3 linked regions of the Nothobranchius furzeri genome follow. The protein of the gene in region 1 purifies or fractionates together with the protein of each later gene. This does not show direct contact. Links are inferred from orthologs where the notes say so. Each region holds a gene or a part of one and is shown in the gene's direction. Other genes may lie near its edges.

The links.
Region 2: the proteins of paxip1 (region 1) and pagr1 purify together in Homo sapiens (affinity purification with mass spectrometry; 6 studies listed by BioGRID and IntAct, with this or other methods). This does not show direct contact. The link is inferred for Nothobranchius furzeri from reciprocal best matches to the Homo sapiens genes PAXIP1 and PAGR1.
Region 3: the proteins of paxip1 (region 1) and ncoa6 purify together in Homo sapiens (co-immunoprecipitation; 6 studies listed by BioGRID and IntAct, with this or other methods). This does not show direct contact. The link is inferred for Nothobranchius furzeri from reciprocal best matches to the Homo sapiens genes PAXIP1 and NCOA6.

Annotation. Positions count from the first base shown.
Region 1 is NC_091751.1:66,100,622-66,104,811, forward strand, and holds the start of paxip1 (PAX-interacting protein 1), read left to right. Parts: upstream 1-1,368; 5' UTR 1,369-1,513; coding exon 1,514-1,594; intron 1,595-3,247; coding exon 3,248-3,382; intron 3,383-4,190.
Region 2 is NC_091756.1:34,661,687-34,665,676, reverse strand, and holds pagr1 (PAXIP1-associated glutamate-rich protein 1), read left to right. Parts: upstream 1-1,135; 5' UTR 1,136-1,283; intron 1,284-1,488; 5' UTR 1,489-1,519; coding exon 1,520-1,691; intron 1,692-2,573; coding exon 2,574-2,907; intron 2,908-2,992; coding exon 2,993-3,081; intron 3,082-3,160; coding exon 3,161-3,396; 3' UTR 3,397-3,513; downstream 3,514-3,990. Other genes in the region: kinesin-like protein KIF22, read right to left, coding at 4-131, 207-394. UniProt on the Homo sapiens protein: Its association with the histone methyltransferase MLL2/MLL3 complex is suggesting a role in epigenetic transcriptional activation. However, in association with PAXIP1/PTIP is proposed to function at least in part independently of the MLL2/MLL3 complex.
Region 3 is NC_091755.1:60,747,867-60,751,918, forward strand, and holds the start of ncoa6 (nuclear receptor coactivator 6), read left to right. Parts: upstream 1-1,197; 5' UTR 1,198-1,326; intron 1,327-2,729; 5' UTR 2,730-2,809; coding exon 2,810-3,053; intron 3,054-3,196; coding exon 3,197-3,352; intron 3,353-3,444; coding exon 3,445-3,567; intron 3,568-4,052. UniProt on the Homo sapiens protein: Nuclear receptor coactivator that directly binds nuclear receptors and stimulates the transcriptional activities in a hormone-dependent fashion. Coactivates expression in an agonist- and AF2-dependent manner.

The DNA of each region.
Region 1 (4,190 bases):
TTGTTTAATGAGAGACAGCTGGTGAAAATGATGTGTGAAAAAAATCAGATGGAGTAACACACAATTAAGCAAATGTGATACAATTATACTAAATACATGTATATCAAATGCAGTATTTTTCACTTTACTTCTCCCTTCTCGTCAGGGTGCTCTAGTGCCCCCTATGGACGAGCCGCCACTGCAAGTGTCAGACTCAGTTTTCCTCTCCACTGTCACTACGTGCTTGCTTAGTATGAGGGGCAGCTGTAAATGCCTTGCAATCAGCTGGGTTTCCTCAGATAGAAAACCTTTGACTAATTGGGATAATAACTTGAACTCAATGCACTGTTTACTTTGTAGGTTCAATTGGAATGTTTGCTTTGTTAATTGTTTTGGGATGATGACTTGTGTTGTTAATTGGTGCTTTATAAATAAACAGAATTGAATGTTGATGTGCTGGTGACTGACCACAGTTGTCAGATGGCAAGGTGGTTCAAGAGCCATCTTGTACCACAGGGTACAACACACTTCTTTGATGTCTGTGTGTGAACAGTAAATATTGTAAATCAAATGTTACCTGTTTAGGAGTGGGCATGGGTATATGTGGGTCTGTGGTGGCATCAGCTCTCTATCCTGGACTGCTCCGTGTCTGATGGCAACCATGATTAGGAGGCAAAATGGAAGTCACTAGTGAATCATGTTCATAAATATGATCCACCAGAATTTCCAGTTTACCTCCATCCTTCATCAGGACAAAACAGGAATGAACTGCGGCTTTTCCTACCCACAGCAGTCAAGCTGGAGAGAGCAGAGATTCCAACAGAATTAAAGCAGAACACAGCATACTCATACTCATTAGATGCTTTCCACTCCATTCTGAAATTGGCTCCCTAACATACAGAGTTCTCATACATAGGCACAAGTACCATGCAAGTGTAGTTCAGCTGGAATTTAATGTTTATTTTAAGTATAATCAAAGACAAGTATATATATATATATATATATATATATATATATATATATATATATTACAAACTTATTGTTACATTTTATTTAGAGAAAACCTAACTATTCATTACTAAGGGCCAATAAATGGCACTTCACTATGCATCTTTGAACACCTGGAAATCATAACAGCTAACAGATCGAAAGTGACCTCTAAACCCATACATGAGTAAAAACCAAAACGGGTATTTATCCTAGGTTTAAACCGCGCAGTCTTGTTTGGATAAACATGTCCTCTTCTTTCCATCATGTAGTGAAACTATTTGCATACCATACTATTATTCACCTTCAGTGCGTTTAACAAAAGACGTTTAAAGTTTTTACTTTATGCAACACACCACATGGGAGAGGGTCAGATTTGACCCCTCCTCTTCCGCGTGAGATCAGAACGCTGCGGTCCAAGGCGCGCGCGCGCGCTCAGAGATTTGGCGCTGGAGTCAGTATTCTGCAAGCCAGCAGCACTCACAAACTTCCCTCTCCCAGACTCTCCCAGTTCACTGACGCGCTCCCCGTCCGTTCATGGACAGTCATGTCTGAAGAGGAATGGAAGGTTCCGGAGGAACTTTTTAAAGATGTCAAATTCTACGTGGTCGGAGACATTGACCAGAAGGTATGCAGGTCCTGTTAGCTTCCTTTCAGCAGCTATGTTGGTAGCATGCTAACTTGCTAAACGGATTCCATCTAGATGAAGCTAACCATCATGCTAACGCGACAACATGCTACAGTGGGATCGCTCCTCTTTGTGTTGTCAGTTGTGTGACGTTTTCCTTCAGGTTCGTTGATCGCTCATTTTGAGCTGATCGTACTCTGCGCTGCACTTTAGCTCAGCCTTTAGACTGAGGAGAGACTCCAGCCTAGCTGCTAGCTTACTGTCTACAGTGTGGGGGTGGTGGAGCTGAGGAACAAATGTCTGTGTCTGCATACAGGTTGTTTATCTGCTCAATGCTTCATGGAAACGTTTCACGTTAGCTTGTAACTGTCAACAATGTTTATACTCAACGTATAATGGCTAGTGTCTGGGTGTTGACTATAGCGCATGCGTCACCGCTGTTTTACGCGCTGGTGCCAATCTCCTGCACTCTGAGGCCTCCCACGCTCTGAAGCCCCGACAGCGCTAGGTCTTTTCCGGCTAACGCTTCTATTCGTTCCACGCATGCGCGAAAGAAAATAAACATCGGCTTACAATTTGATCACACACACACACACACACACACACACACACACACACACACACACACACACACACACACACACACACACACACACACACACACACAATTTGTTATATCAGTTCTTATTGTGGCCAAACCCAGATTTATTTCAGTGATCAGATTATTTATGTTATTATCAAATAATAACATAATAAGCCTGCAGATCGTATTCCGTTGACGGGTTGGGGTTAATAAACTCTTATTTTGAAAGGTTCTGGGTCACTTTGTGGAAACGTACCTAAAATCTTTCCAGCTATGATTTATAATAAATTATAGCAATATTTTCATTAAATAATTGCAGCGTGTTTAGGTCAGAAACACCTAGTACAGTAATACCTGTTTTAGTGAACCTGTTTTCACAGCATTCAGGTTTGGGTACACACTACTGAGGGTTAATAGTAAACAGTCTGAGCACACACCAAACCAGGCACCTATAAAACCCGTCACATCATTTTATTTTCCCAAATTTTCTGTTTTATAGTTTTATAAAATCAACATTTTTCATAAATCTGTGTCAGTTTACCCTACCAGAATAATAACCTGAACGCCATGGTAACAGTCCAATAGAAAATTGTTAATCCAAATTGTAGACATTATCTACATATTGATTTGCTATAAGTTTTGTTCTTTGCTTTAATCTCAGTTAACTGTAATGTCCCCTCCTGTCTCCCTACTGTTCCTACCCGCCCCTATCCTGTCGCATCACACATGAGAAGATTTTTCTGTCATTTGTTTTAATGACTTGGTTTTCGCTGGTGTTCCTTCTATCTTTTCAGAGACAATCATTGTTTGTTTTGGTAAATAAATGAACTTTTTGTTTTAAAGAAGAAAGGCCTGACAGCTTCCTTGATGTAACAAAATTGTTGTCAGCTATCTTTAGTAGCCAATAAGAAATGCTAATTAGTGTCAAACTGATTATTTAGTGAATTAAGTTTTGTAAGTAGAAAGTCAAAATTAAAATCCAACCTAGATAAAACCCCTGTAATGGTTGTGTGGACTAAAACACACACATGTGGTGACCCTGTGATGCTTCTATCCTCCTGATGCTGCAGGTGGTGCAGCTGCTGAAAGCAGGAAAGGGGAAGGAAGTGTCCTACAATGCCCTGGCTACTCACATCATAGCTGAGGATGGAGATAACCCCGAGGTGGGCGAGTCAAGAGAGGTGTTTGACCTGCCTGTTGTCAAGGTAACAATGTTGTCAGTGTCACAGCATGTTTCCACCTCCCAAAGAAAGCAGCAATAAAAGAGATTGTAATGATTTAAATTACATGTTATTTAATGAGCCGTAAGGCGTAGGATTCCATAGGAAATATGAAATCAACCTTATGGATCTGTGAGGTTATTTAAACCAGAAGATTGGTACTTTTTATTGCAGGGATTAGATAACAGCTTCGTATTCACTCAGAGACAACAGAAGAGAGAGAGTCAAGTTCAAAAGTCTAAAAATTTATTACTAAACAGATTAAACTAGACTGACTTTAACTAAATGTATGGTGTAACTAAGGTGAATGAGACGGAGAATGGTGTAGTGTGGATTGTTGTTCAGAACCAGCAAATACAAAGAAGCGATTAGTTCTGATGAGAACCGAAGGTGATGTTTTCGCGTTAAGCTTTGGTTAGGAGGTTCATAAACACATTCGACGCCATTTGTCGGTCTACGTACCCTTAAGGTTGGTTTATGCTTGACACGTCCGCGAGGTCCGCACGGCTCCGCGCGGAAAAGTTGCGTCATTTTAACAACCACGCCCCTCCACCGCGTCTCCGCACGGCCCAAGATTTCCGCAACGCGCACCTCGGAAAATTTCTAACCACGCGAACGGTTGGACGCGGAAAAACATGGCGGACCGGCAAGATCTAGTATGGCAGAGGTTGGTAAATACAGACATTTGTATGCTTCAGCTCTCAGAGATCACCGTGATCAACATGTTGTTAATCATTCTTGGAGAGAAATAGCTCGCACTGCCGGAAAAGACGAGGACGCTGTTAAAAATGCT
Region 2 (3,990 bases), on another chromosome or scaffold:
CACCAGCTCCTGTTGGCCCATAAGCAAACACGCTGGCGTTTTGTCCTTTCAGTATATTTGGTAGAATCGACTTCACTGATGAGAGGAAAACCTCTTCCTGTGTTGTGTCCTCTCCGTGGAAAACATCGAAGCTGGAACAAAAACCAAACCATGTTTAGAGTCAAATGTCGTGAGGAGAGGAGGACACTTGGGAGAGTGATACTGACTGGTATTTCACAGTTTCTGTTGCATTCCTCCAGTTGACTATCTCCAGGTTCTGGGAGTCCAGGCCTCTGACACACGGACCCTCGTGTTTATCATCTTGTTTGCTCATGTAAGGCCGCAGACGAACCGCTACCCGAACCCGGGAGGTCTTCTTGTTTCCACCATCTGCTACCAACACACGCTGCGCCATCTTCACACAAACAAAGGCCTGGATAACGAAAAAGCCAGAGTGATGTTCATCCACTTTATCAAACTCTATGCCACGCGAATATTTAGTATAATACACACCAGTAAATGCATGAACAGAGCATAAATGGAGTATTTGAAGGTAAGCTCTAGGTTTTCATCATTGCGTCACGAGAAGCAAACACACGAAAGGAGGTAATGTTGTTTCCAAACTAATGTTTCCTCGAAATCTGCCACTCCGCTTTTTTAAGTTTATTGGGGAAAGCTTACCGTTAAAAACGTCTTCCAAAAAACGCGTTTTTATCGTCCAAACATTCCCAGCTTCTCCTTTTAACAATGGCGATGGGCCAAAACTTCTAACTGAAAAAATTTTAAACGAAAAGACTGAGACCGGAAATGGGTTTTAACCAATCAGAGCTCGCGTGAACGCTGGCGCCTTTCAGCGATCTCATTAAGCGCTAAATAATTCATAAAACATAATTGTAGTTTTGTTGTATTTAATAGTATATTTTAAAAACTAGTATATTGAGTAAAAGTTAAATTAAAGAGGTTTTACTTTTCCCCTCCAAACAATACGAGTCGTTTAGCCACGGCACAGCTAACAGGAAGTTACGTTTAGCGTAGATTTCCACTTCATCTCCTTTCACATTTTAGACAGTAGAAGCCCTGGAATGACTTAGCCATACGCATTTAAATCAGCGGGATTTGGAGCCCGGTTAAACGCGACAACATCGTCAAGCAACCTATTCAGCCAAAATGGCGCTATGTTTATGTCCATGTTGAATCTTTTAATGCACTTAGCTAGCCTCATGGAGAGCTATGATGATCCCATCACTTGGGAATTACTTTAAAATCAAATTTTAACGTGACCAACGCTGACTCACGACAAATCGGTAATAACAATGAAGGATTTCCTTTATTTCTGCGGTGCGGTTTGACGTTAGCTAGCCCAGTAGGAATAAAACAAATAAACCTAAATATTCTCAAATTGCTTATTACGCTTTAGTAACAGGCGTAACTTGACTCGTTACCCGTGTAAATAATAACTGCCATTATCTCCCATTGCTAATTATTATCAAACATGCTGCTGTTTCGCAGATCCTATTAAAGTTGTCCAGCAGCAGGTAGGATGCAGACTGAAGTCACCAACTCTTCTCTTAGAGAGGGTGTTGAGGCTCTAGGTGTGAATGATCCAGAGAAATCTGCTGCAGACCAGGAGGAAGGCGGCCTAGAGAAGCAACAGGACTCAGAGATGACAGCTGTCACAGAGGAGAAAGACACCACTGCAAAGGATGACACAGGTAACTCCCTTAAAGGATAAATAACTTTGTAAACTCTTGGAGTCAGAAATCCGTCTGATTAGCACCAGATGTGGCCAAAAGCAATCACTCAAAGGCTGTATCAGTAAATAACAAGCCACATAAAGAATAGGGCTGCTCAATTGTGAATAATAATCAGAAATATTGTGTTTTTGGTCAATATTTAATTCCCAAGTATTTAACTAGATTACTTCTTCAGTTAGGACACACTTGTATTTATCATTTGCAGTTATAAAAAAAATACACCAAAAAAAGTCAAATGATGCCACAAACACACTTGACACACCAGACCTTGTAAAATGATCTGTGTTCACTTTACTCAAATTCTCCTTACTTCTATGTTTTGAACGAACGAACTTTTGAAATAAATACTCAAAACCATAACTCGTAATAGCAGAGCAATCATGTGATGCTTAAAATAGCTAGAGTTCACATTTTAAGACAAGTGCAGATACAGGATTACACCAGCAGGTGAAGGAGTGACCAATAAAACTTATGAGGGTTTAAGTATCTGAATTTACCACAGTAGAATTAATCTAGGACACCATGAATAGGAAAATAATTAAACTCGTGTTTTGTAACATTTAGTTGTTAAAACACAGACACCAGCTAAATAAACTAATTTCTTCTGAGTCAGTCTCATGAATAAAACATGTCCAGATATCCAAGCAGGAAGTAAGTGGGCATCAAAGTGTCTTTTTTAAATACCAACATATTACACAGGCTTTGGAAGATGCAGAAGTGTACTTCATTAGTAAAGAAGAACAAAATGAGAGTGCTTGCAACATAAAATAAGACAAACATAAATAACTTCTTATTACATTGTGTCAAAAAATACATTTGTGTACTTTTCTGTCTTCTCAGATGAGAACACAGAGGTGGTGGAAGGAGGGACACAAGAGAATGAACCTCAGGGGGAAGCAGGAGGGGATGCTGAAGAGGGGAAGCTGGCTGCCGGAGCAGACGACGAGTGGGAGCTTCCCTACAGCGACGAGGAAATGGAGGACCCCAAAAACTGGATGCCTGCTCCTCCTGAGATCAAAAGACTTTATGATATCCTCGCTAAAGGGGAGATGCTGGAATTGAACTTTGTGCCCCTTCCTAGAAGGCCTCCCACACCTGAACGCACCCCTTCACCCGAGAGAGACGAAGAGGAGGAGGCAGCAAAGGAAAGGGAGAGGCTGGAAAGGGAATGCAAGTCAGTAGCTCTCCTTTCTTTTTCTTATCTTCTGTTATTTGGATAAATTTGATTTACCACTCCCCCCCCACCCCCCCACCCCCAGGCCTCCGTCTCCAACAGAGTTTGACTTTGATGAGGAGCAACTTCATTCAACTCCTAAAAACTCCTTCATAAACAGACGCAGAACACCAGGTTTGATGATTTATTTTTTTATATCCTGATTTCCTGGGTTCAGCGAGGAAAGCCAAACTGTTTCCTCCCTGCATTCCAGGCTCGTCAGCTCGCTCCTCTGTGAAGAGAGAAGCTCGTCTGGACAAAGTGCTGTCGGACATGAAGCGCCACCGCAAAATTGAGGAGCAAATCAGGCGCACGGGCAGAGATCTATTCAAGACCGAGAAGAAGGTGGAGGAGGCCCTTTCCCCAAACAGCCAGAAGGAGCGGGAGAAGGAGAGGGAGCGAGACAGCAACCCAGACACCATCTTCTCCCCGAGACAGAGGAGATACTGAAGTATTCAGTCCCAGAAGCAATCAAGAGCTTCTCAGGGCTCTCGCAAGACTTTCATTTTCTAATGTTCACGTTTTGTATGTTTTTTGTATGATGGCAATAAAGCTTTTAACTTTTAACACTGTTAACTGGGTCATGATAACTAATTAAAAAGAAGTTGGGTTTAAAATCTAGAACCTCAGTTTTCATGTTAAGGTGTACATATAAGAAGGCAAATCATAATCTGAATCTAAATAACAGAAAAGGACTAAGTTCTTCCTTAGTGATCAACTAACCCTAACCCCAACTTGAATGCAGCTGTGCTCAGTTTTCTTTAAGCTCCTGGGACCCAAACATGTATTTGGTGTGATTTAAAAAAAAAGCATGTAGCTATTACAGATTAGTCAACTGTAATTAACAGAAACAAAATTACGAAAATTAAAACTAAATAAAAATTTTGTCAAATATCCTAAAAAAAAGGAAAGACAATTTTTTAAGTCAATATCAAGTGTCTGTAAATAATAACAAAAAGGTCTAAGTAGAAGTAGCAGAATAAAAAGGTAAGGTGCAAGGAGCCAATTTCCATAAATGTGGGCCCTAGAAAGGTGCAATAAGTA
Region 3 (4,052 bases), on another chromosome or scaffold:
ACTACAGTCATCAAAATCTCACAGCAAACTGCCATTTAAATAAAAATCCACTTAGCTTTCTGTGAGTTCACCTCACATCTGTTTGCTCGAGTCACACGGTACAAGGTTTTCAAAGTAAAAGCCCACCCAGCAGTGGCACTAAAGTTAGCTGCAAATGAAATAATGTAATTGCTGAACTTATGAGAGGAATGTTTGAGAGTATTTTCTCTATCACTGTTTAGTCAGAATTTCAGAGGTAAATTATTGAGCAATAAATGAAATCATAAACCAATAATGTAAAATGTACAAAAAAATGCATAGTGTGCAGTACATGCATTAACAGTCAACTTATTTTTTAATGTTTTTTGTCAATTATTCCAAATATTACCAAGGATGTTGCTAGATGACAAGTGAAGAGACTTGCTTTGTCTTTGTCTAACTGTCCTTCCCTTGCTTGTAGTGTGGCATGTAACTGTGATTATGTTGTCTTGCACAGCTGCTGGAGTTTTACCTTCTTTTTGAGAACATGTTAGGTGATAACATACCCAGACAGAGATGTTTAACAGGAATGTGATTTCCACATCTTGGTTTACTACTTTTACTGAGATGGTTTTATTGATTTTAAAGTATTTCTTATATTGTTACTGTTCTTTTTGCATTCTTAATATAGTTTTAGTGGTTTATTTGCTGCTTTTCTTGAAAATCATTAGAATTATTTGAGAGAGGGTCACCCTTGTTCTCTGAATGGGAATTAAAACAGTTTAATGTAAAATCAATTTTTACATCACTGTTTGACTGTAGATGTTTTTATTCCTAAAATCTATATTCAGCCTGGAACTCTTCGGGATGGGTGTCATGTGTTTTTGGTGCAATTAAGCGGAATAATAGAAGTAAAATCGAACACGTTTTTCTCTCACACTAAATTGATCAAATAGGTTTCTAATCTTAGAGTCTTGTCTTGTGTACTGTTAATGCACACATTTGCACACCTGATGTTTGATTATTTTGTGTTTATAATTGAAGGAAAAATCGGTTTTGTTCAAATTTGTGAAATAAAAATGTTTGCACATACCCACATAAGCAGTGTTCCGCAATTTGTCATCATACTTGCATTTAATACAATTTGAAAAATAGATAAAACAGCTCAGTTTATTCAGGACTATTTAGGAAATAGTCATGAACTTGTTAACCTAAGGAGTGCGTTTACCTTTTGAGCTTTTATTTTGAAAAAGAAAACCGGAAACAACCTTTGTTAGTTAGCTTGCTTATGACATTCATCCTATTTTGTTAGCCTGTCTAGCAAACAGATGTCGACTAGTTGAACGTATTCGTATATGGATATGTTTGGTAAGGTCTTTGTATATTCCTTTCTCCTTGTTTTTATTAACGAAAACTGTTGAAAGGCAAATTAAACCAGCTACGGTTCGCTGCTTGGATTCATTCGCGTCTGGAGACTGACATCTAGCTACATAGCTAACTGATGCTAACAGGATTTTTCGGAAAACCAATAGGAACCACTTTCAATTTCACTCTTTCTGTGTGCTGCTAAAACGTATACATTTGAAATGTAAGTGTTAATTGCACCACGATGAAAATGCACAATTTGGTAAGAAACAGAGTTTACTTGTGGATTTTGTTTGAATGTTAGCTTACTGCGTTAAGGCCCACACTCCTGCAGCGCCGGTGACTGAAACCAGGATGATCATCATTATAAAAATATATTATATTATTACTAACAAGTTTAACTCCCATATCAAGAAATCTCACAACTCTGAAAGTAATGTGACTACCAATCAGAGCACCTCTGCTTAATAAGCTAATCACCGGTCAGTGATGTCACCTCCAGGTGTCTGCTTCATTGAGTTACAAACTCATTTATTTGCTTCTTTTTCTGGTTTGCAAATAGAAATTATGACTTTTTTTGCTTGTCTTTGTTTTACTCGAATCGAATGTTATATAGAATACTCTTCAGCCTCTAGCAACTTACTATAACTGTTGTTTCTTGGCTGTGTTCAGGGTTTCTAAAACAATTAAAGAGCAAGTCACCCCCTACAAGAAACTTATTTCACTCCCTCTTCATGTTTGAAAAATGCAACAAATGCTGTTGCCTAGCAGACCGAGAGGGCGGAGCCACTAACAAATACACACACACACACACACAGGCTCACAACGGCACTGTGACATCATAATGTACCAGTTTACATCATAGCATACCTCTTAGCCAATAGCGGTGGCAGATTTAAATTCAAATGCAGTGCAGAGTTTTTACCTGACAACGGCGCAACATTGACAGTTTTAGGCAGAATATTTCAATTTTAACTAAGATGCACTGAAGTACCAAATTATTGACTACACGTGTCTGCAGCACATTTAGACACACATTTATATAGTTTATCAGCAAAAAAAAAAGTAGATTTGGGGGTGACTTGCTCTTTAAGAACTGTCGAAGGTCTCAATATATTAATGGGAAATTAAAAATATTCTAAGATGAGCTGTTATGTTCCCAAAACTTTCCATTTTAAATGCATTCTACGAAATTGTAGAAAATTGGGAACCCATAGCGTAAGCAGCTTTTTACTTTAAGCTGAAACAGTTTATAGAAAAAGCATAATTTATCAAATAATTATTAAATTAATCAATACCATAGACTTTTCTGGGCAGTACATACATTTGAGATAGGCAAAGTATGGAATAATAGTATTTGATAAGAAAATGCTGTAATCTAAAGTTTGAATAATCTGTAATTACAGCATAAAACGGTTTAGACACCACTCCTAACAAGGAAGGGAGGATAGCTGCTGAACATTCCTCATCCCAGAAGACTGCGTACATGGAGCCTGATGGTGAATCGGACAGAGACTCTGGTGTTGGAGAAGATTCTGGAGAAGACGCAGATAGCTCTGAGAAATGCAACGTAACAGAAGAAGTTGGACCCATGGAGCAAGAAGACACTAGAGAAAATGGAGAGGAGGACTTCACAGTCTTTGTTGCCTTTCAAGGAAACATGGATGATGAGAACTTCACTCAAAAACTAGAAACTATCCTCAATGGGATACCTGATGTTCTTAATTTGGGTTTGTGTTTATTTTTATTCAATTTGTTTTGTTACTTTGTTTTATTTGAGCTCATTTACGTGTATTTGATTCAAAAATATATATCTTGCACTGACCTGTTAAGCATTTTCCAACCAACACTAACTAAATACACTTTATTTTAGGCCCAGAACGGCTGCAGCCTAAACATGTTGAGCCGTGGAACAGTGTCCGTGTCACATTCAACATTCCCCGGGATGCTGCTGAGCGACTCCGGTTGTTGGCCCAAAACAACCAGCAGCAGCTCAGAGACCTGGGTATTCTCTCTGTGCAAATAGAAGGTAATAGCTCAGTCCAAAAAGAATTCATGCAGATCTCCTCCTTTTGTCTTCATAAAAATTCATTTATGCAATGATTTAATCTTGGTGTTCAGGAGAGGGAGCAATTAATGTGGCTGTGGGACCAAACAGAGGACAAGAAGTCAGAGTGAATGGACCAATTGGTGCACCTGGTCAGATGAGAATGGATGGTGGCTTTCCAGGTCAGCCTGGCCCAGGTAAGTTTTTCCAAAAGTTTAACAAAAAAATTAACAGTACTCTAGTCTACTAGTAGAGATTTTGGCTTTACTGTCCAAACGTGATCACACATGAATGCTGTCGAAAGCAGCAGCAGCTTCAGCGCAGAGCAAGTTGATGAGAAGACGAAGACATAATTTATACTGGCCTGGTTTAGGTTTAAGGAGTCTGATGCTGAGCAGAAAAACATCCTCTGTAAAATATTCTGGGCGACAGTGAAGTCATATCAACGCTTGTTAACGCTAACGCTAATTCCCTTATATGCCATTAGCTTCTAACATATTATTAACACGCAGGTTTCCAAACTTTCATCACAGTAAGCTTGTATTTTATTTTAAAATTTCTTCATCTTTATTTGGTTCATGTGAATTTTTGTGTTGCATTGTTTCTAACAATGTTTAACATAAATATTACTTGATATTTTGTATTTTTTTAATTAGTTTTGAACATTAAATGTTATTTAAAT